Linked DNA regions of Daphnia pulex. The protein of the gene in region 3 purifies or fractionates together with the protein of the main gene of each other region. This does not show direct contact. Links are inferred from orthologs where the notes say so. Each region holds a gene or a part of one and is shown on either strand. Other genes may lie near its edges. The genes, in order: 5'-3' exoribonuclease 1-like, enhancer of mRNA-decapping protein 3-like and enhancer of mRNA-decapping protein 4-like.

What was found.
Region 1: the proteins of enhancer of mRNA-decapping protein 4-like (region 3) and 5'-3' exoribonuclease 1-like purify together in Homo sapiens (co-immunoprecipitation; 4 studies listed by BioGRID and IntAct, with this or other methods). This does not show direct contact. The link is inferred for Daphnia pulex from reciprocal best matches to the Homo sapiens genes EDC4 and XRN1.
Region 2: the proteins of enhancer of mRNA-decapping protein 4-like (region 3) and enhancer of mRNA-decapping protein 3-like purify together in Homo sapiens (affinity purification with mass spectrometry; 6 studies listed by BioGRID and IntAct, with this or other methods). This does not show direct contact. The link is inferred for Daphnia pulex from reciprocal best matches to the Homo sapiens genes EDC4 and EDC3.

The regions. Positions count from the first base shown.
Region 1 is NC_060026.1:2,430,811-2,437,872, forward strand, and holds the start of 5'-3' exoribonuclease 1-like, read right to left. Parts: upstream 3,637-7,062; 5' UTR 3,431-3,636; coding exon 3,356-3,430; intron 3,292-3,355; coding exon 3,160-3,291; intron 3,104-3,159; coding exon 2,957-3,103; intron 2,900-2,956; coding exon 2,738-2,899; intron 2,682-2,737; coding exon 2,517-2,681; intron 2,450-2,516; coding exon 2,282-2,449; intron 2,217-2,281; coding exon 1,947-2,216; intron 1,887-1,946; coding exon 1,546-1,886; intron 1,478-1,545; coding exon 1,174-1,477; intron 1,108-1,173; coding exon 933-1,107; intron 872-932; coding exon 693-871; intron 629-692; coding exon 300-628; intron 236-299; coding exon 1-235. Other genes in the region: uncharacterized RNA-binding protein C660.15-like, read left to right, coding at 4,449-4,689, 4,764-4,933, 5,003-5,146, 5,219-5,423, 5,501-5,854, 6,379-6,543, 6,644-7,062. UniProt on the Homo sapiens protein: Major 5'-3' exoribonuclease involved in mRNA decay. Required for the 5'-3'-processing of the G4 tetraplex-containing DNA and RNA substrates. The kinetic of hydrolysis is faster for G4 RNA tetraplex than for G4 DNA tetraplex and monomeric RNA tetraplex.
Region 2 is NC_060018.1:5,241,360-5,247,539, forward strand, and holds enhancer of mRNA-decapping protein 3-like, read left to right. Parts: upstream 1-2,469; 5' UTR 2,470-2,665; coding exon 2,666-3,296; intron 3,297-3,354; coding exon 3,355-3,723; intron 3,724-3,781; coding exon 3,782-4,128; 3' UTR 4,129-4,221; downstream 4,222-6,180. Other genes in the region: uncharacterized protein LOC124210599, read right to left, coding at 4,234-4,420, 4,490-4,671, 4,733-5,007, 5,078-5,429, 5,498-5,887, 6,012-6,089, 6,171-6,180. UniProt on the Homo sapiens protein: Binds single-stranded RNA. Involved in the process of mRNA degradation and in the positive regulation of mRNA decapping. May play a role in spermiogenesis and oogenesis.
Region 3 is NC_060018.1:11,849,512-11,856,470, reverse strand, and holds the start of enhancer of mRNA-decapping protein 4-like, read right to left. Parts: upstream 4,741-6,959; 5' UTR 4,564-4,740; coding exon 4,514-4,563; intron 4,453-4,513; coding exon 4,244-4,452; intron 4,180-4,243; coding exon 3,895-4,179; intron 3,824-3,894; coding exon 3,579-3,823; intron 3,518-3,578; coding exon 3,405-3,517; intron 3,340-3,404; coding exon 3,153-3,339; intron 3,089-3,152; coding exon 2,261-3,088; intron 2,186-2,260; coding exon 2,051-2,185; intron 1,972-2,050; coding exon 1,621-1,971; intron 1,550-1,620; coding exon 951-1,549; intron 882-950; coding exon 773-881; intron 699-772; coding exon 576-698; intron 512-575; coding exon 348-511; intron 292-347; coding exon 105-291; 3' UTR 1-104. Other genes in the region: uridine-cytidine kinase-like 1, read right to left, coding at 5,283-5,302, 5,398-5,526, 5,587-5,752, 5,824-5,925, 5,987-6,070, 6,135-6,344, 6,413-6,664, 6,735-6,806 and 1 more. UniProt on the Homo sapiens protein: In the process of mRNA degradation, seems to play a role in mRNA decapping. Component of a complex containing DCP2 and DCP1A which functions in decapping of ARE-containing mRNAs. Promotes complex formation between DCP1A and DCP2.

The DNA.
Region 1 (7,062 bases), on a different chromosome or scaffold from region 3:
GGCCGAGTTCTGTGAGAAGACTTCAGCGAGAGTCGAAAACTGGTGGCAAACCGTCTCCTTGACTTGCAGTTCTTTGACAGTGGCCTGGAAGGCGTAAGGGACTGGGATAGGGCTCCATTGCTTCTCCAAAGTAACACGCCCGTTTTGAGTGTAAACATATTTTCGCCCGGTAATTGGTGCGGCGTAAACTAAAATAGGCGTAGTCCCGATGTCAACACCCCATCGATTGGCATATCTATAATTGCGAAAGCGGCATTAAGCAAATTTGCACACCAGCAAATGACACCAGTCAGACTCACCGCGTACGAATTTCCTTTTCTTGCAAGCGCCAGTCGTCCACGTCTCGCGGCAACATTGGCATTTTGCGAATTTCTCCATCCAATTTGTAGGTGACGCTACCACCTTCACCAAACGATTCAATTTCGAAGCTGTATTTGCACTCTGTATTGGCAACAGCCACAACCCGAGCTTCCTGCAAGTGAGGCCAACTGACGAAGACAGTCTGCCCGCAATAGCGATTCCCGATGTCGTTGATATCAGGCACCGTTTCTTGGACCAGCGACAAAACCTGCGACTCATTGAGGGTGTTCATGTTGAACACACAGATGGAAGACTTCTTCAAACTTGCCTAAATGGATATACACTTTTATAAACATGTACTTGAATATTAAAAGATTGTCAATCAATGTTACCGTATACGGTAGATTTCTCATCGAGGGGAACCCGGGAATGTATCGATCGGGATTATAGTTAGGGTGAAGACCCTTCACAAGTTGATCGGATGAGATGACGAATGCGTCTCTGGTTATCTCCTTGCATCGGCAGTGATTGTGAGGGATAGTAGGAAAGTAAGCAGGTGCAACACACTCTCCTGCAAATACAATTTTACCAATTAGTGATTATCCCTACTCAGAACGATAATTTAAACTTACCAAGATCCTCTTCACAAAACACATAGACTTGCATGGGGCCGTGCCGATTGCGATTTTTCTCTTGGTCTGATAATCGCGACTCGCAATCTTTCATGGCCGATATAAGTCGCTTCTCGTCGATAAAAGGAATCAGCACTACAGCCTCCCACTCTTGTTGTTTCCCATTCTTGTCCGTCTGCAATAAAAAAATAAATGATTAATGCAAAATTACTGTTCAACCCATTTGCGCCAAAATATTTACACTAAAATTAGACGGGTAATAATCGATAATCGGACTGTCGATGGAGGACATCAAACTGTGATGAGCAACCGGTAACAGGGCTTTGCTGGCTGCAGGTAGTACTCCCAACAGCTGCTCGTAGGGCAGGAAAGGCTGGCCGAGATCATATTTCAACTTGAGGTTGGCGAAATTACGGACATCAGAAACGTAGGGAGCATAATGATGTGGGTAGTACCAAGACCACGAGCACACACCATTATAATAATAGTGAAGGATCCATTGAATGGCAAGAACGTAACCCTCGGCTTGATCCCGAAGGACATCACTAAAAAAAAATTAGTTGTCAATTTAATGTCAACATTGTTATTCGACATTTAAAGAAATACAATTTACCTGTCGACTTCGCTGTATTCCATTTTTTCCATGTAATAATTCCTCTTGTGGGCTTTGAATTCCAGCTGAAATTGCTTGTCTTCGTCGGCCGACGTGTACTCGTCATCGTCGGAAACGTAACTTTCTCCTTCCTCATCATTGGTTTCCTCGTCAATATCAGGTTCCGTTTCTTCTCCGCTTTCCGTGATACAAGCTGAGGCGTCGACAAGCTTGTCAACAACAATCTCATCAGAATCGGCGCTATCTTCTCTCAAGAGATCGTCAACTTCAGCAGCCTTGGCAAGCAAAAAGCTGGCAGTATCAGAGGGTCGTACAGTAGGCGGTTTTTTTTCAAACTCGTACTAAAAATAGAAAAAAGGAATGCAATCGAAGATGCTAAAATTAATCTAAGATGCGGCTACCTCGACTAGTTTCTTGCGACCGTGTCGACTCTCCAGCCATTTGACATCAGCGAAGGTGTCATTAAAATTTTCGTAGTCTATGAGCGCTAGACGTTCCATAAACTTTTCGAACCGTGGCAAGTTCAGCTGACCGTTCTCGTTAATATACCCATCCAGAGTGGGTAGAACTTCCATGTAAGCCGAGTAGAGTAGCGGTAATGCGCCTTTGTTGATATGGAAATGTGGAAGATTAGGAATGAAATCGTTTCCAACCAAAAATCCCATCAAGACCTACAAGGAAAATTTCACTTAAATTATGCGTGAATTTTTTTAAATGGGTTTAAACTATAGCTTACCCAGTCATCAATAATATGCTCCAAGTCGTAGGGAAATTTCAATTTAGGCTTCACAGAGGCAAATTCAAGATCCAAATATTCACGGAATAGTGACAAATGCAGTAAATGAAATGTAGTCTCCTCAGGAGTCGTAATCCTCTTTTCATTTTTCTTTCCACCAAATCTAACCTATTTCGGTGCAACAACAAAAAATTAGTTCTCGACTCGTTTTAAAACAAAAAGCAGACCTTCGTACTTCTTCACGGAGCAAGGAGAAATATGGTTCGTGAGAGCACAAACCCAACATCATGAGATCAGCATCTAACCCATAAAGACAGTGACGAGTCTCGGCGTTGTAGTCTGGTTGACTTCTTTGAAATCGAATAAACTCCATAATCTTGTGCTCACCTTCTCCAGGAACCTGTGAAAAGTGAGTTGAGCAAGATTTCATGTTGTGTAAATGGTTGACTAAATTACCTGATGTCCAGACAAAATGACTTGCGTATTTTGCCACAGAGGATCAGTAGATACTTTATTGGTGACAAAAAATTGCAACTGTTTTTGCAGATTGTCCATGAATTCAGTTCCAGGAGTGATGCAATTGGAGTCAAATCTTTTCTCTTCTGGCAAAACCTCACCCTAAATTAGATCAACTTGTTAAAACATTGTTCATAGATGATTGATCAATTTATATACCTTTCTCAGAGCTTCTTTTTCTTTATCCTCAGCTTCCTTAGCTGAGCGGAACCTTCTACCACGCTGCTGGTTCATTTTGGCACGAGGGGCAACTCCATCAATTGCCATGAAGAAGACCTTTTGGGGTCTAATGAGGCGAAACAGGACCTGCATGAAAATAAAGTTTAACAGGTTGTCACACAAAACTACTGTCAGTAACTTACCTCCAAATAGTGAAATATGTCAGAAACAATTTTTTCTTCAGAGATTCTGAAGTGAACATCTTCGTCGTTGGGGTGGGAGCAGTTGTGAATAATTCCATTCATGTCCAGGTATAAATTGTCAAATTCAGGTATCTAATCATTCAGAAATTTATGAAATACAACACATTTATATTGCTAATTTAAATCTTAAGCATACCTGATATTCTTTTACTGTTTCACTTAGGCAAGGATAGCGTTCGCTGATCCACCGGTAAAACTTGGGGACACCCATATTGCAAATTTGTAAGAAACGACTGAGAAATTAATATGTCAATCAACACAATGCAATCTTTATAACTTTATATATCTCGGACAAGTTCTCGTAGTGAGTTTTACGGCGGCTATAAGTGATGAGCTACGAGCCTACGATATGAGCTTTTATTTAGCATACAACCATACAAACACCGAGACAATGCAAAACCAGCCAAAAGCGACATTGCAACATTTTCTCATAGGATTCCGACCGGTTATTTATTTGTTTATTTTTTAAGCTCTTCTTTTTTATTTTACCGTTAGATAAAATAATAAAAAAAAAGTTCTTTGATTAGAAGATATTCCGAATTTTGCAGTGAAATTGAAAACGCATCAAGAATGTAAAATGTCATTTTCTAAAATCTATTGCGCTGCATCAGCAAATGAGAATGACCCTCGACTTTATTTACAATCGTTTCTTCTATTTTGATATTAAAAATGGGATGATCCGATAGGAATTGGCAGTGAGTTTGAAATAATCGGAATATTTATGCTAAGCTCAGCCTTCCAGCAGCGACAATGTCTTCAAATGTCAAAATAATAACATAGTGACAATGAGTTTTGGCTGTGACGTTTTTGTTCCGGGTCCTAGGGGGTTGGGGAAGGGAAAAAAATCCAGAATGGCGTCGACTGCTTTACCTTAACTTTCGTATGGAATGGATGGATGTGTTGGGTTGGCCGTGCAAAAGTTTGATGCCTGAGAGAGAATCTGGCTGTAAATGGTTGAATGTGATGAACTCTAGAGTCAGGTTTTGTAATTAGAGGGTGTGCAAAGTGTGGAATTGAGAGTGTTGTGTGTGTGTTTCTTTCCGAGTGTAAAAAAAAAATCGGCTTCTTCTCTCCCCCCCCCCCTCCTTCCTGGTCCCAGTTGTGTACAGCTAGAGTCGGCGTCGATGGAAACGATAGCATTCATTCCCCGTTTGCGATGATCATATGCCCGTACGATTGGTTGTTGTAAAAGTCGTGAGTATCTCGTCAGTTTATTTAGTCGCCCGAAAATGAGCTGCAGCTACATTCAAGTTGCTGAGGATGAGACTGAGGAGCCCATAGAATTACCCACTGAGGATGACAGTGCGCTATTGCTCAGCACCTTGGCTGCCCAATTTCCAGGTGTTTCGGGCCTCAAGTACAGAGCCCCAGAATCTCGCTCAATGAGAGGTGTCAGACTTCTAGAAGGAAGGTTCCAGCCGCCAGAGGATGGCTGGGGGAACCACGTCTACATATGTGTTTTCCCCAAAGGTAATGATGCATGTCAAACTTTGTTTGGTTTTTCAACTAGACTAAGACGGTTTCTTGTGTGCATTTCAAAACAGAAAACAAACGAAAGTCAGATGACCATCCAGAAAACTCCACAGCCAAAACCAAACGGATGGAAATGAGGCTCAAGTGCTCTGACCTCATTGTGCTTGGATTGCCATGGAAAACATCCGAGCAGGACTTGAGGGTGTATTTTGAAAACTTTGGTGAACTTTTGATGGCACAGGTACGATTCAAGACCACTCCTGTAAACAAAAAGAGTTCACTCTCTTACCCAATGTTTACATGTTGACAGGTCAAGAAGGATGCAAAAACTGGCCAGAGCAAAGGTTTCGGCTTCATACGATTCGCCAATTACGATTCTCAAGTCCGCGTCCTTTCTCAGCGGCACCTTATCGACGGCCGATGGTGTGACGTGAAAATTCCCAACTCGAAAGCGGTGAGATCTCATTCTCGCCTTTAATTCAATTCCGGACGAAATCTGACTGACTTTGTCCCTTCATTAAAACAGGGTGGCACCCCGCAGGTCCCGTGCAAAGTATTCGTCGGCCGGTGCACGGAGGACATCACGGCGGACGACCTGCGCGACTATTTCTGCAAATTTGGCGAAGTGACGGACGTGTTTATTCCCAAGCCATTCCGGGCGTTTTCGTTTGTCACCTTCCTGGATCCCGAAGTGGCCCAGTCGCTCTGCGGAGAGGATCATATCATCAAAGGTAGTAGATGTGCTTTGGATGTCGACTCGAGTCCGAGACGACCGTGCTTGAATGTCTTTCTCGACTTCGCTCCCGAGCAGGTACGTCGGTGCACGTAAGCAACGCCGCACCCAAGACGGACATTTCTTCGCGCTACACGACCTATCAGCAGCCTCCTGCCCACCATCAACACCATGCCCACCATCAGCAACAGCAGCATCATCATCAGCAGCACCACCATCAGCAACAGCATCACCATCACGCTCAGCAGCAGCAGCAACAGCACCACCATCATCACCATCACCACGCCCAGCAGCAGCAGCAACAGCAGCAGCAGTACGGCCACCAGCACCAACAGCATCACACTCCGCCACACAGTCACGGAATGGGACCGCCGGGTCCGTCCAGAGGACCGCCAGCTATTCCCTACACCGGAGTGCTCCGTGGCCCAGGTCAGGGATATTCATCGTAAAAAAAAAACAAAAAAAAAAAAAACAAATAAATCAATAAAAGAACAAGGGGGGCAAACAAATGAAACAAAAAAGGGGGGTTCATTCTTCCTACTTTTTCTTTTAAATAATAATTTCCCATCATCATCTTTTTTTCTTCTTTCGAGTGTGGGTGTGGTGTGGGATCGGAGAGTGAGTGGGTGTGTGATTGTGTGTGTGAAAGAGATAAGATTTGAGTTTTCGTTCTGATAAAAGTCTGACATCGATAGAGATTATCCAGAAAGTTGTTTCTTCTTCCCCCACTATTATTTGATTTTTTTTTTCGTAGAATTTATTATTTCTTCCCCTTTTCTTCGTGAAGTCGAAAAATAAAATTGTTTTTTGGGCATTGTAAATCGCCTTCTATCTTTCTATTTTTTTATTATTATTTTCTCCTTCAAGCCAAAATAATTTGAAATGATTCGATTTAGAACTTTAGTGTAAATTTGTTCGTTTTTTTTCTCGTTTGTTTTTTTTTTGCTTCACAGGCATAGGAGGAGACGGAATGACGTCTAAAGGGGGTCCATGGGGTGCAACTGTAGGTCCGGGTGGGGCGTCGGCCGCTGCGACGGTCAACCCGTACCACCACCAAGGACCCAATCCGTTTCACCAAGGTGCTGCACCCGGTACTAACTCGGACTGGTGGCATTCGAGTAGTTTACATTCTCTTGTTCTATTAAATTATATTCATTTTAAAAAATGACGGACACTTTTACCAATTCACCGATGTCGTTTTTTTCCCCCTACTTCCAGGTGGAGGTGGACCGTCTCCCTATCAGCCGTCATCCGTCGGAGGAGCTTGGAGCGGCCAGCCGCCGCCTCATCAACACAACAATCGACCGCATACCGAACTGCCCAATTTGGCCGCTCTCGGCTCGTCTCTGGGACTGACTGGAGCCACGGCAGGTAGTCCAGCCCCGCCGGGCGCCGCCCAGCTGGGAATGGGGACCCTTAATTTGGGAGCTCTTCCGGGCGGATCGGCTCTAGTCGCCGCTCTCAGCTCGGCCGCCATGAACTCGGCCGCTCTGAACACGGCCGCCAATTGGAGCGGCTTGTTCAACAGCTTGCAGGGACCACAGGCTCCTCCCCCTCAACAACAACAGCAACAACAACCGCAGGATGGATCCGGGGGACCGGGTAGTTATCCGACAACTCAACAGCATCAACAACAC
Region 2 (6,180 bases), about 6.6 Mb from region 3:
TTGCTTGACCACCGAAAAGACAGTCGAAAAGAGTCCCTCCGTTGGCGAATTCAAAGATGAGCGAGACTCTAATCGATGCTTCACCATCACTCGATTCGTTATCCGTGCAAAGACCGAGCAGTCCAATAATATTGCGGTGCTGGATAGCTGAAAGGGCTTCAACCTCTCGTTGAATCATCTTGGCGAACGATCGAGCCTCGCCGTTATCTTTCCAATGCGACGACGGTTGACAACAACAGCTCCGGTTGAGGCGATCACATTGCTCAATCGGACTTGCAGAAGATCAATTTCATTCAGAATTTTAGAAAAGATGAGGTAGAAGGATTCTTTTCAGGAACACACAAAGTTCGGCTTCTTGCGATATCGATTTTTCGATGACGACCTGCTGGCTCTTAATTCCACTGGGAGGAACAGCCTGTTTGGTTTTGGCTTCCTGCAAACTAATCTCCAATTCCTGAATCTTTTTCTGTAGTCCCAGCATCCGCTATAGATCTTCCAACTGAGAAACTCTTTCTTTTGAATCCAAAAGTTCCACTCTCCGGTTGATTGATTTGTGAAGGCAGTGAAACGGGAACTGGCACATAAATAGGTGATGCATAGATATTTGAATAGCTTGTGATTGTTGACGATGTGACCGAATATCCCGATGGAACATATTGGCGTTCTAAGAGAAAAATTAAATGTTATGAAACATAACAGAACTATGTGCCAAGAGCAGTAAACGAGAAACGAATGGACTATTTACAAAATTAAGAAGAAATCATGTTTTTATCCATTTAGCTATCAAGTGAAATAATCATTATAGGATAGGTTTACAACTAGGCAGTTAAAAATAGAAAAAGAATACCAAAATGTTCACCAAGTGAAAATTCCAGTTCATTCACGGTTAGATTTGCTACAGAGAGTACATTACGGAAATTAGACTATTAAGTGAATGAAAAAGGAAGTCGGCTTTCGAAATTGTTAAATACGTGTGGGAAACTGGGATCTTGACCATAATAAGGTTGGCTATGCAAATATAACAAACCAGTTTTAATTTCTCTACCAGGAGCATCTGATTGCCCACTTGGGTTTTACAAACAGACAGGGAAGGGGCGACCATGCTATCCTTTTAAGTGTGGTGTGAGCTAGGATTTCTCTTTCGACATGGGAACAAACCCCAAAACAATCCATCCAGCAACAAGTGGAAAAGCATGTTTTTCAGAAAGGGTTTTTTTACCAAATTATACTATGCCATCTTAAATATCACAGGAGTAAATATAAATGTTAGTCAAAATGCAACTACCTTGCAAACAGAATTTCCTTGGTTTTGGAAGACAGCTTGAATTCGGCTTGAATTGGACCATTTTATCACTGTCACAAGCACCTAGATCACATGAACCATGAAGCCTTCAGCTGAAGATATTATCTGAAAATATTCAGTCAAGAATGAAATAAGAATCGAAATAGTGTGTTATCAAGTAAACCATTCAAATCTATCCAACCCAACGTTAAAAATGAAGACAAAAAATATCGCATGATCGATGTAAACTCTTCTTTACAGCCATTCAAGATCTTTATAAAGTTCGTCAAAAGGTGTCATAGTAAAAATGCAATACCAGACAGACAGATACTCTAAAAATTATACACGTAAAATATAACAGATTACCATATCCCTAAGAATAACAATTATCGTCGGAATTGTTGTCACAACACTACGCCAGGCGCCGGCCATTTTGAATGATTTGAAGCACTAAAATTTAGGGCGCGGAGGCAATGTTGCATGATGAATTTGAACAAATCGTCCAATAAGAATTCTTCATCGTTAGTCCGTTTACTCCGTTACCACCTCTTCATTTTTGAAAGTTAAATGACAATTCTTATTCAGTAAACGAAATATTCCATTGTTTCGAAATCCGCGGTCAAAAAGTCCAAAGTTCCTGCAAGGGCCAGGGCAGTTGTTATACTATTAATTTATATTACCATACCGTCCGTCACTCAAGTTGACAACGAATTTTTATCCATACCTGCACGGCCTTTCCTTAACTCAAGTAAATTTAGCGTAAAACAAAGGGATGACTTGAAGGGAACTTTGTCGCTCGGCATCCATTGAACAAATGTACAGACAGTTATGTACTTCATGCAAATGTCCTGGTTTAAAAACAGTTGCGTCACCTAGTGGCAAAACAACTTTTCTCATTTAAATAAAGGTAACCTTTAATAGTCTCAAGCTCACTTTAATAAACCGATAACTAATTTAACTTGCTTATTTTTTACGCATCATTGACATTGTGATATATATGTCCGTCTGCCACAAAAATTTCGCTCTTGAAATCGGATGAGTTTCCTTTTTTACTGTGCAACACCAACAGAAATAGCTGCTATGTGGCATTGTGGCTATGTCTTACTTATCAATTGGGTATTGGGAATAGGAAACCCTTCGCACAATTAGACTAATAACCAAATAAACGGTAAACAAAGAGAGAGACAATCAGACAAAGAGTTTGCCCAGTTAAGTTCAATTCACTATGTTAGATCGTTCACCTGTGGATGCTCACCTCGTGAGCAGACGAATAGAAAACATTTGGCCCACAAACGACTCATTTGAGTGAGAGTGACTTCGTTTTAACGGCTTTTATCTCCAAACATTTTAACCACCTGTTTTCTATATTACAAAAGTTACAATATGAGTGGAAAGTATTTAGGCTCATATGTGACAGTCGACTGTGGAGAGTTATTCGGTTGTTATCAAGGGCAAGTAAGTAATGTGGATACCCTTAACCAAACACTTACTTTGAAAGATGTTTGGAAGAATGGTTTAAAATCATCTATTGATGATGTAACATTGCTGGCTAAAGACATTCTTAGTCTAGCCATCATTCCTTCACCTAAGGATGACAAAATTGGGAATAGAGCAGAAGTTGAGCATTTAGAATCTCAGCGGAATAAAAACAAAACCAGTGCCAGAGACTCTCCCCGTAAGTTTGATGGTTATGGAAGTTCTTCTTCTCAGCCTGCCCCTCCAGACACACCAAACAAGCTAAATAAAATGAAAGGAAGAGTTGGAAAAGATGATGTTTGCTTCGGAACTGATGTCAACATGGAAAAGGATTTTGACTTTGAAACCAATTTGGCACTCTTTGATAAGAAAACAGTAATGGGAGAGATACAGTCAGGAAAACAACAAGGTCCTCCTCTTGGTCCTGGAGCCAGAACAGTGTCCAATTTTAGACACGATGAAAACATTCTGGAAACCCTACCCCCCACATACCGCCAAATTCACCTTCCATCACCATCAACAAAGGAATTCCTTACTGGTACATTACATTAGTGCATTTCTTAATTTCTTATTTCACTAAATTATTAATTTTACAGATACAGGATTAGTTGTACCCAGTGCAAGTCCTGAACTGAGAAAAGCAATGCAAGATTCCATGGAAAAACTAGGCATTAGTGTTGAAAGGAGATCAGAATCGATAGCTCGAGCAGTTGCCGAAGTTGCTCTTCACTTTGTTGGTGGTCCTCACCGCTTGACACCTAAAAATTCTCATCAAAAACCAGTTGTCGTAGTTTTATGTGGTAACCATCCAGAAGCTGCTGGTGCTGTTTGTGCTGCTCGTCATTTAGCCACTCTAGGAGTTCAGACGGTCGTCTACTTACAAACTTTGACTGTATCCCACTATTTGAAGAAAGAAATTGAACTATACAAACTCACGGGTCAATCAGTCATCAACAACGAAAAAAGTAATACATTTGTTGCTATTTTAATTAAGCGATTGTAATTTACTTGATTTCTTAACAGACTTGCCATCTGCCTCGGTTGATTTGATCGTTGCTTCTTTGCTTCCTCCAAGCTGGGGAGGTGGCGACGAAATCTCGAAGATGAAAGGAATCATCGAGTGGGCAAACAAGCAGCGCGCTCCCACAATGGCAATCGATCAACCTCCATCTGCTGTTATTAATGCTACGCCTTGGTTGGATGTTAAATGTACTTTGTCGGCCGACTTACCATTAGCATACGGCGATCGCGATGGAAAATTGTACCTTTACTCACTTTCTACACCTCGCAAGATTTTCCAATCATTAGGCATAGAGTACGATTCACCTTTTGGCTCCAAGTTTGTTATAACTCTGCACGAGTCTTGCTGAGAATCTACACCACCATTCTATGTATACGATTAATACGAAAGCGTCTGTATTTACATGAATTTCGGTAATAAAGACAACAAATTTTCTATAAAACATATACTGAGACTATGACTTCTTCCAAGACTTCCCCTTATTCTTGTTCTTGGCACTTCCTTTCATACCTGTTCGTTTTCCTGATTTCACTTCATTTTCTTTGGCTTGAGTGTTAGTTGCTTCACTTATGTGGACATGTTCAAATTCGTCTCCACTGTTGATTTGATCCATATTTACATCTTCAAAGTCCCCTGAATCGCTATAATCAAGGAGCAAGTTTTATTTGAAATTAGTTTTCTTCTATATTTTCACAAAAGTTTTGGTTTACCTTGGAGGTGGTGCATCATCAGGAAAAAGCTGAAGAAAACCCTGCGTTAAATGAGCGTTTCCTTTGAGCAGAGGAAGAATAGCATTTTTTATGTCGTTTATGTTGGGTGACGCACTGCTTTCCACTTGCTGAAGGGTCTTCAGAGTTCGCTTGAGTTGTGAAGGGCTATCTTTGAAATGAATCTGTAATTGAAAAAAAAAACATGGTCGGATTCATAAAGTTAGAACCAAGAAAGACATTTACCTTCAGTTTTGAGAAAAATTCGCGCATTCGGACGTACAAAAAATGTTGGAACTGTACTCCACATTGAGCAGCTGCCTCTGGACTTAAAAAGAGAACGAACTCTTCCAACAAATCCATGTTATCTTTCAAAATAGTCTCGATTTTTCTGTACAACTCCAAGAATGAACCAGAACTAGATTGAAATTGGCCCAAAGTAGTAAAGAATTCTTTAAACGCCACGGGATTTGATTGTTCCAACCGACTTCGAACTTTCATGAAATAAATTTGGGCATATGCTAACAATAATAAAATTTAAAAAATATTGATTATTATAATAATCATCAGTAAACAAAATTTAAGCAGTACCATCGCTGCGTGGCTGCACTGGGTCATCATCGGCCATCCAAGAGTCAAGTATCCGCTTAGCATTGCGCTGATGTCGAATATGGCGATGAGCAGGGCTCCTCCCTTTTGGAACAGAATTGGTAGCCAATGGAATTGTCGTCAAGAAATCAAGTGAAATAGAGTCTTCTTCTTCGTCGTCGTCTTCCATGACTAAATTTTCATCGACATGATTGCTGCTTAATGGACTCGAAGGAGGTTTATCCCCATCGTCTCCTCCGCTGTTGCCAGCACTTGTTCCTGATGCACCAGATCCAGATGGACAAAAAATGCCACTGCCACCCTCAGCACCTGAAGAAGATGACTTTTGATTTCCCTGGACAAGTACAAAAAAAGGCGATTAAAATTGTATGGCAACTAGTGTTAAAGCAAGAAATACTATACTTGTGATGATGGGTTTGTTTCTCCAGAAGGATTATTTGCTTCGCGATCAGCAGCTGTTCGAATAGGAATGGTAGTTTGTTCTGTTATACTTGAAGGGCCCCAAACATGCATGACATGAGTCATGTTTGAATCTGGACGGTGGATTAGGACGTAGCGCTTGGCTCCTTGATTTGAAGTTTGACAAGCTCGATTTCTTTCGTCATGAGGGCTCGAAGCCCCAAGCGGCAGTTCAGATTCACATTCAAAATCGGTATCGATGACATCTAGTTGATTGAAACATACACTTGATACACCTGTAGGTTCAGGTGATTTTGTCAAATTTTCATTATTCATATTTTCTTCAGCAGATGCTTTCCCTTCAGAAGTACTATCTGTTTCAGCGAGGTCAACCTGAAGTTGGAGTGAAGAAAGATAAAAGCGTTAGACAAGAAGAAACGAGGAAGTACATCAATATTTTTAACGAAGGGAGTAGTCCGGATGATGAGGATTGTTATAAAATATTTAAAAAACATACCCCCTCTGAAATCGAAGTAACTTTCATTGGGGTTGGGTCCATTTCTGAAGAAGCATTATTCTCCTCCGAGTCCGTTTCCTGAATTCAGAATGCAAAAATAAATACATTCATGGCATTTCAAAAAATTTGTTTGTGCTATAAAAAAAAACTTCATTTTACCTGATCGACA
Region 3 (6,959 bases):
AAAATCTGGGAAGGAAAGAAATGCGCACCATTTCATCGCTGTTATTTTTTTTTTTCAAGGAAGGACCTGTTGTTGGTATTTTGTTGCTCCTTCAAAAGAAGGTCCTACTTGGCTGAAGCCAATGGCTCGGCACAGCGCAGTAACATGCGCAATTGACGTTGCAGTGTGACACTAAGATTGTTGGCCAGCTGGGCATGCAAATTCACCACCAGTTGAGGCATCACCTTGGGTGCGTGCTCCTTAATCTGCGGATCTTGAGTGTTCACAGCCAAGAGTGCTTCTTGGAGATATCTGCCAAATTCAAATTCATTAATGAAATTCTAATTAATGGAATGTTTATCATTTACTCTAATTTCAATTCAGTCGACGAGCCAAGATCTGCAGATAGTTGCTGGATCAACGCCAAAAGGATTTGTGGTGGGAAGACGCAAGGATCCGAGGCGAAGAGTTTACCGGCATCGACTTTTGAGCAAACGAACGTTACCATACTCAAGTCGTTCATGTAGAGCGCCTGAATCATTAAAACAAATGAATATTCATGAAAAATTACCGCATGAAACAAAGAACTCGGTTACCCTCTGGAAAGCTTCGAATAATCGTCCTTGGTCAATCATGTGTTTCAATTGGATTTGATGCTCGGCTGGCGTCAGCTCCACCACCGCTGGCGTCACAGCGCGCGATTGAATTTGGGCGGCTTGCTGGAAGGGAATAGATAATGAGATTAACGACGAAATAAAAAATAAAAAAATGGTAAATAGGGTGAGAGAATTACGTGAACTGCCAACATGGCACCGTCCAGAGCCGCTTTCTGATCCTTGATGGCGTGTTGCATCTCGGACTGGATCACAGGAGTCAAAAGTACACGAACCCTCTCCGGAAATCTGAATTAAACAACGAACATTTCAATAGAAATTCTAATTAGGTTAGAATTTGGATAGATTAGATCTTACTCGTGAGAGATTTTCTTCAATTCCGTCTTGGTATCGGACGAAATCGACTGCCGGACTTGGTCCAAAACGACGGCAATCTTATCCATGGTGGCGTTGAGTTGAACGGCCGATTCCTTGTCTTGCAGCCTGCGGTGTCGTTCCAGGTTGCTCTCGATGTTTCGTACGACTGGTAAGGTAACGTTATTCATATTGAAGTGACGAGTGACGCAAATCCTTTCTGAATAGTCATTTCTAAATGAATGCTCACACTCGGTGATCCCCTTGGAAAAAGTGTTGTGCAGCTGGGCGAAGAGTGTCTGGAACGAGACTTCCAGCGACGGAAGCAGCTGTGACGTGATGGCATCCTTGCAGCCGCGATTCATGGCCGACACGGCCGCCGTCGAAGTAGCTTGGCTGTACGCATCGATGATGGACTTGTTCTGCGACAAATGGCTCATCATTTGCATCGTAGAGTTTTTCAAAAACGGTTCCAGTTTATTCATCTCCGTCGCAATGACCGATTGCAATTCCTTGCGGATAAAATCAACACTTCGTTGCTCCAGTGTATGCGCCTTGTTCTCGAATTCGGATCGGATCGTCGACTGAAGTTTCGACACGGACTAGAAAATAATAATAATAATAGAAAAATACATCAACAAGAAATAATTAACTGATTTCAATAGTCAAATACTTGTTGGGTTTTTGCCGGAGAATTAACTTCGTCCAACTTTTTAGTCTGGCGATCGAAATAAACGGCCAAAGTGGATTCCATCTGAGCGATCCATGGAGGCTGGATGGGTTCCGGTGAGTGCATCCGAGTCATTTCCGCCTTCAACTGACCAATCTCGCTCTTCAGTTGTTGTTGTTCTGCGCGTTGAGCAGAGACGAGCTGAACCAATTGGTCCAGTGTCTGTTGCATCATTTGCATCTGAGCAGAATTTCCGGCATCCGTTTCGCGCACTGGCGGCTCTTTGGGCCGTTGTAGTTGTTGAACGTTGAGTGGCGGAAGAACGGACGGCCACGCTGCTTGCGCTGGCAAAGCCTGGATGTGTGTCGGGGTGTGTTCAAATATTAGACACCAACATATAACCCAATAATCAATAGAATAAAGCGAAAGCTACTTCAACGACAAGGGCTTCTTTAAATAATTCCAGCAAACTGCCGTTTAAATCCGCAGATACGGAGGAAGGAGTAGGAGCTGCAACAGCGGAAGTAGGGTAAGTGCATAGCGGATCCTCAACAGTTGGTGCGTTATACTAGATTTTAAATGAGGTGTGCAAATAGTAATTACAAATGGCAAATGATCGGCAAATGATCGAAATACGCCCTACTTTATCCATGATGGGGGATGGTCCTTTGCTGTTGACCGAGGCTGAGCGACCCATAGCCGGCGATAACGAAATGGGATAGGCCGATAAGGCGTCTTGAAGGGCTGGACCTGTAGGCACGGTGGCGGAAGAGGTATCGGGTGACTCGATCGAGCCTTCCGTCATAGGTCTTGTTCCCAGGATTTCTTCTACTTCGCGACTGGGGCTGCTACCCCCACTGGGAATGCCGTTCCGCTTCGGCGTCGTTGATGAGGTAACCTCAGGTGTCGGTCGTCGTGGGCTTGAAAGGGCCAGGATCTCACCTGATGCAGGCGGCAAGGGACTCACGGTGCCTGGTGAAGTCACAATCAATTGCTTTTGAGATGAGGAATCCGTGTTGGTTTTGGCTGGAGAGACGAACGCGTCGGGTGTCAACAGGTTGATGTGGTTGGTAGCGGATGCTGTTTTGACTACATTCACCGGTTCATACTCCGACGTGGTGTTGATGGTGGAGAAGGAGGTTCCAATAGCCTCGCCCAGTGGGACCGAAGTCCCCAATTCAAAGACTGCTTTGCACTTTTGCAGCGACTTGGGCTGCACTACGAACATCTTCATTATCACTTTACTGGCCTTTTCATCTCCATCAAAGTCCTCGTCACCCAATGGCTGGGAAGGTGGCCTAATTGAAGCTTCCCGGATGGCAACACTAATGGCTGAGAAAGGCAACAGGAGTTGAGTGATGCTGCTCACTTTCGAGATGGTTCGTTCTTCCGATTTGGAAGGTACTTCGCCGTCATCAGAGAGCGGATTCCTCTCTTCTGGCTCCTGTTCTATGTGCATAACGTACAAAGCCTATTGACAAAATTAGATTGGTATGAGAGTTGAGTAAATCAAAGAAAGGTGGGATATAAATAACCTTGCGATGAATGTCGGAAATAAGAAGGAATGAAGCCGACAAGTCGAGTGTCATTTTTTGGATAATGGGAATAGAATCATCCGATTTGAAACGGATCGTCTGATGGCACTTCCACAATTCACAGGACCATAGCTTAAACTCTGTGTTGTTTTCCGCGGATGTGACTGCCCACTTCCACAGCGGACATCTATAGACGAATCGAAGAGTGTCGTTGAGGATTGGAAGAAACAATGCCGAACAAAATAGACTTACTCTCTGATAGTTGGATGACTGAGATTGTCCAAGAAAATAATGCCTGAGAGTCTTTTTCCTTCATGTGGTTGCCACTTGTGCAAAATTTTTGGAATTTCCTTTTTAATATTGACCTAGAATAAAAATTGCAGCATTTAGCAAATGCCTAGTTAGTTAAAAGTAATTTTCACATACCAAAAAGAATCTGACGTAGCCATCCAAACTGGCGACAGCAATTGCTGTTGAATCTGGAGAAAATGCCACATCAACAACAGCATCATCAAATGAGGTAATTTGAGTGGATCCAGTAGTCACACTGGGGTAGGTGACTGTTCCATTGATATGACCCAGATGCCATATTTCCACACGGCAATCATGTACCGCTGCAAGCATTAATGCATGATCATCAGCATCATTTCTCAAACCATCACTCAATTCATCTGTGAGAAAGAAAATCAAACAAGAAAATTAGTATAACAAAATACAAATTCTAATAGAAATAACAACAAACCTAGAGTTTTGGGATTTTCTGGGACATAGGGACACCAGACTACACGATGGCAGTCGGTGGCAGTAGTAATTCCATCGGGATTCACTTGCAAAATCAATTGAGCAGTTGATCCAATGATCTCATGGACGAGAAGGTAACTATATTCATCGACAGCAGCCACAAGTATCCTTTTCTCATGGAACGCAAAAGACAGGTCTCGAACAAAGCCATGGAATCCCTTTAATAGGATTCTATCACTGCTCCCAGTTCTTATCACTCGAACCATGCCAGCTGATTTTCCGGGGACTAAACAACCAAAACAGAATTAGTGAATGTAGTTAAATACTTGCACATTGTTGGTATTAATAACCTGTCAGTGCATATGCAAAATATTGCCCCTTGTAATGAGTGGCAACCAGGTTTCCCCAGTGGAAAGCTTTATCCCATGATGAATCAACTATATTTTTAACTTTGATCTGTGAGCTACCAGAACGGTGCCCTCCATTAACTGGATAAATAACAACATCTTCTGATGATTTTGTTGCAACACTTTGCCAATCCATCGCCTCTGAAAACATACTGTAAAAATATTTATGTAATCAAGTCTTTCTCAATAATTTGTTAAGTAATAGTCACACACATGGTAAGTTCCTCATCTTTGCTCGTTTGACCATTAAAACTGCAGCTCATGGTGAATCTCTCGACGGGTGTATAATCAGCGAGAAAAACCAACCACGTGCGATAAAATACAGATGAATTTTACAAAATTTTCTAACTGAACTAATAAAGACAAACGACTCCGACGAAATCGACCGGTGTGCAAGTGCAACAAACTGTGTGTCTGATTTCGCTTCGTCGTAACTCGTAACTGCTGAGCCGAAAACAAAAGAAGATCGCACCGCGGCTTACAAACATGTTGATAAACAAACGTTTATCTTTGTTTTTCCAAGATTCGGCGGTAAATGTTGGTTGTTGCCTAAAATGCCTATGCCCAACAAACTATTTAATGTCTTTATTTAATTCATTTCATTGAAATATAATTTTTTTTATTGAAATGAAGAAAAATGGCCGTTTATAACACATTAACACAAAATGTATTATTGTTCTTTTTCACGAGTTTGCCAATAATCAGTTAGTAAGTATAATAAACTAAAATAGGAGAAAGCAAAAATTTTTATGTTCTTTTCTGTGTAAAAAAACATCAGATTGACTGAGTGGAAACAATAAGAAAAGACATTTAATTTAGTCTTCTATGACTGTTTGGTCCAGATATTAATCTGTAAGATTTTTAAATCACAATTTTATAAGAGAAAGAAAATTAAGTACTGAGTGGTCTCTTGCATCATATAGGGGGACAGAAAAAATACACTAGGGGAATCCAGCTATTTCAAATAATTAGGAAATCTTCTTTACATTTCATTAGGGGGTTCTGAAAATTAACAACAACAAAAATGTTTAGAAGATAATTCAATTATTTAGAAGATGAGTAATTTTATTATGAATAATAGATAAAAATCGACGAACCTGTGCCAAAGTATCGGTCTCCAAAATTACCAATACCAGGCTTGACAAAGAATTTTTCGTTGATTTCTGGGTCAACTGCAGAGGAAACAATTCTCACCCTGGGAAAGGCGTAGGCAATCGAATGTACACCTATTTATAAGCAGAAAAATAAAGCATCGATTAAGATGATTTCTTTTCAATTTTGATTACCTGAAGCGGCCATCAGTAAGGAGGCGACTAGGATATTTTCCTCAGGAACGTCATGATCAAGGAGCACCCTGATCGCCATCATGGCTGCAGCTCCAGTCGCCACAGTTGCATCCATCAAAATGACTAGATAGTCTTTAATGTCACGAGGTAGTCGAAGATAGTACAGCTAAAATTCATTTAAAAAAAAGGAACTTGTTATTAAGTAATGTAATAATAATAAATTGATTAGCTATTTACTTCAGGTTCTCCTGTTTCGATGTTATTCTGGATAAGGATTTTCCCGATACGAATATCTTTACATACTTCAGAAAGTGCTTGTTCCATAGTTTCTCCAGCTCGCTAAAGATACGGTATTTTTTAAAAATATTTTATGGTATTTATTTAAGCTTTAACCAATTACCAAAACGGAAACTCCAACGATTTTATCAGTAGCTATGCGCTTCCCTTGATATGAAACTCCTTGTGGTGTGTCTACCGTGGTATCCTAAAGAAACAATCCATTTCTTTAATAACAACATTTATGCGTATCTTAATTAGGGAGGTTATACCTTAAACGGCAGTAAAGACAGAGCAAACTCTATTGTTAATCGAATCAGCCGACGTGAATAGAAGATGAATTCATCACGAGGAGTCTCTTTGTTACGAATGAAAGTGTGTAAACCCTTGACTTGCGGGGTTAACGGCAGAATATGAAGAGAGTTTGGCAGTGGCTGATCCACTTGTGCGGTAGCCAAGATGGGCCTTAACTTGAAACCTCTCTGTGGAATAAAGAACAATAATTAGAATAACCAATCGTATTAATTCCAAGAAGTAATATCGTGCACACCAATTGTAGTTGCGTCTGAACGTGTTGCACAATAAGACTGATGGCGACTTCATTGTCACCACCACGAGGAACGATAATATCAGCGTGCGCCATCAGAGGTGCAATGTAGTGCTCGAACGATGGTTTGACAAATGAACTGTATTGTTTCAAGACTCCCTCTAGCTCGCGTCCGCGTTGAGAGATGTCGCGCCGCAAACGCCGCGCCAACCGTATATCCGAGTCCGTGTCAACAAATACTTTCATGTCCAGCAACTGATAAGAAATGGTTCCACTTTTTAAACAGAATGCTTTTCAATAGTCAGTGTGAAGCACATCTATTTACCGAAACAATTTCCTGATTGTAAAACGTCAAAATTCCCTCGAAGATAATCACGTTGGCACCATACATGGTTTTCTGTTAGATAACAAGAAGATAGAAAATAAAGAAAACTCTGAAATCATATTATCGTCAAATTGCGTACAGTCTTGGTTTCCCGACTATGCGTGATAAAATTGTAAATAGGGACTTCGACACTCTTGAAATGTTTCAAACGTTGCAGTGTTTTGC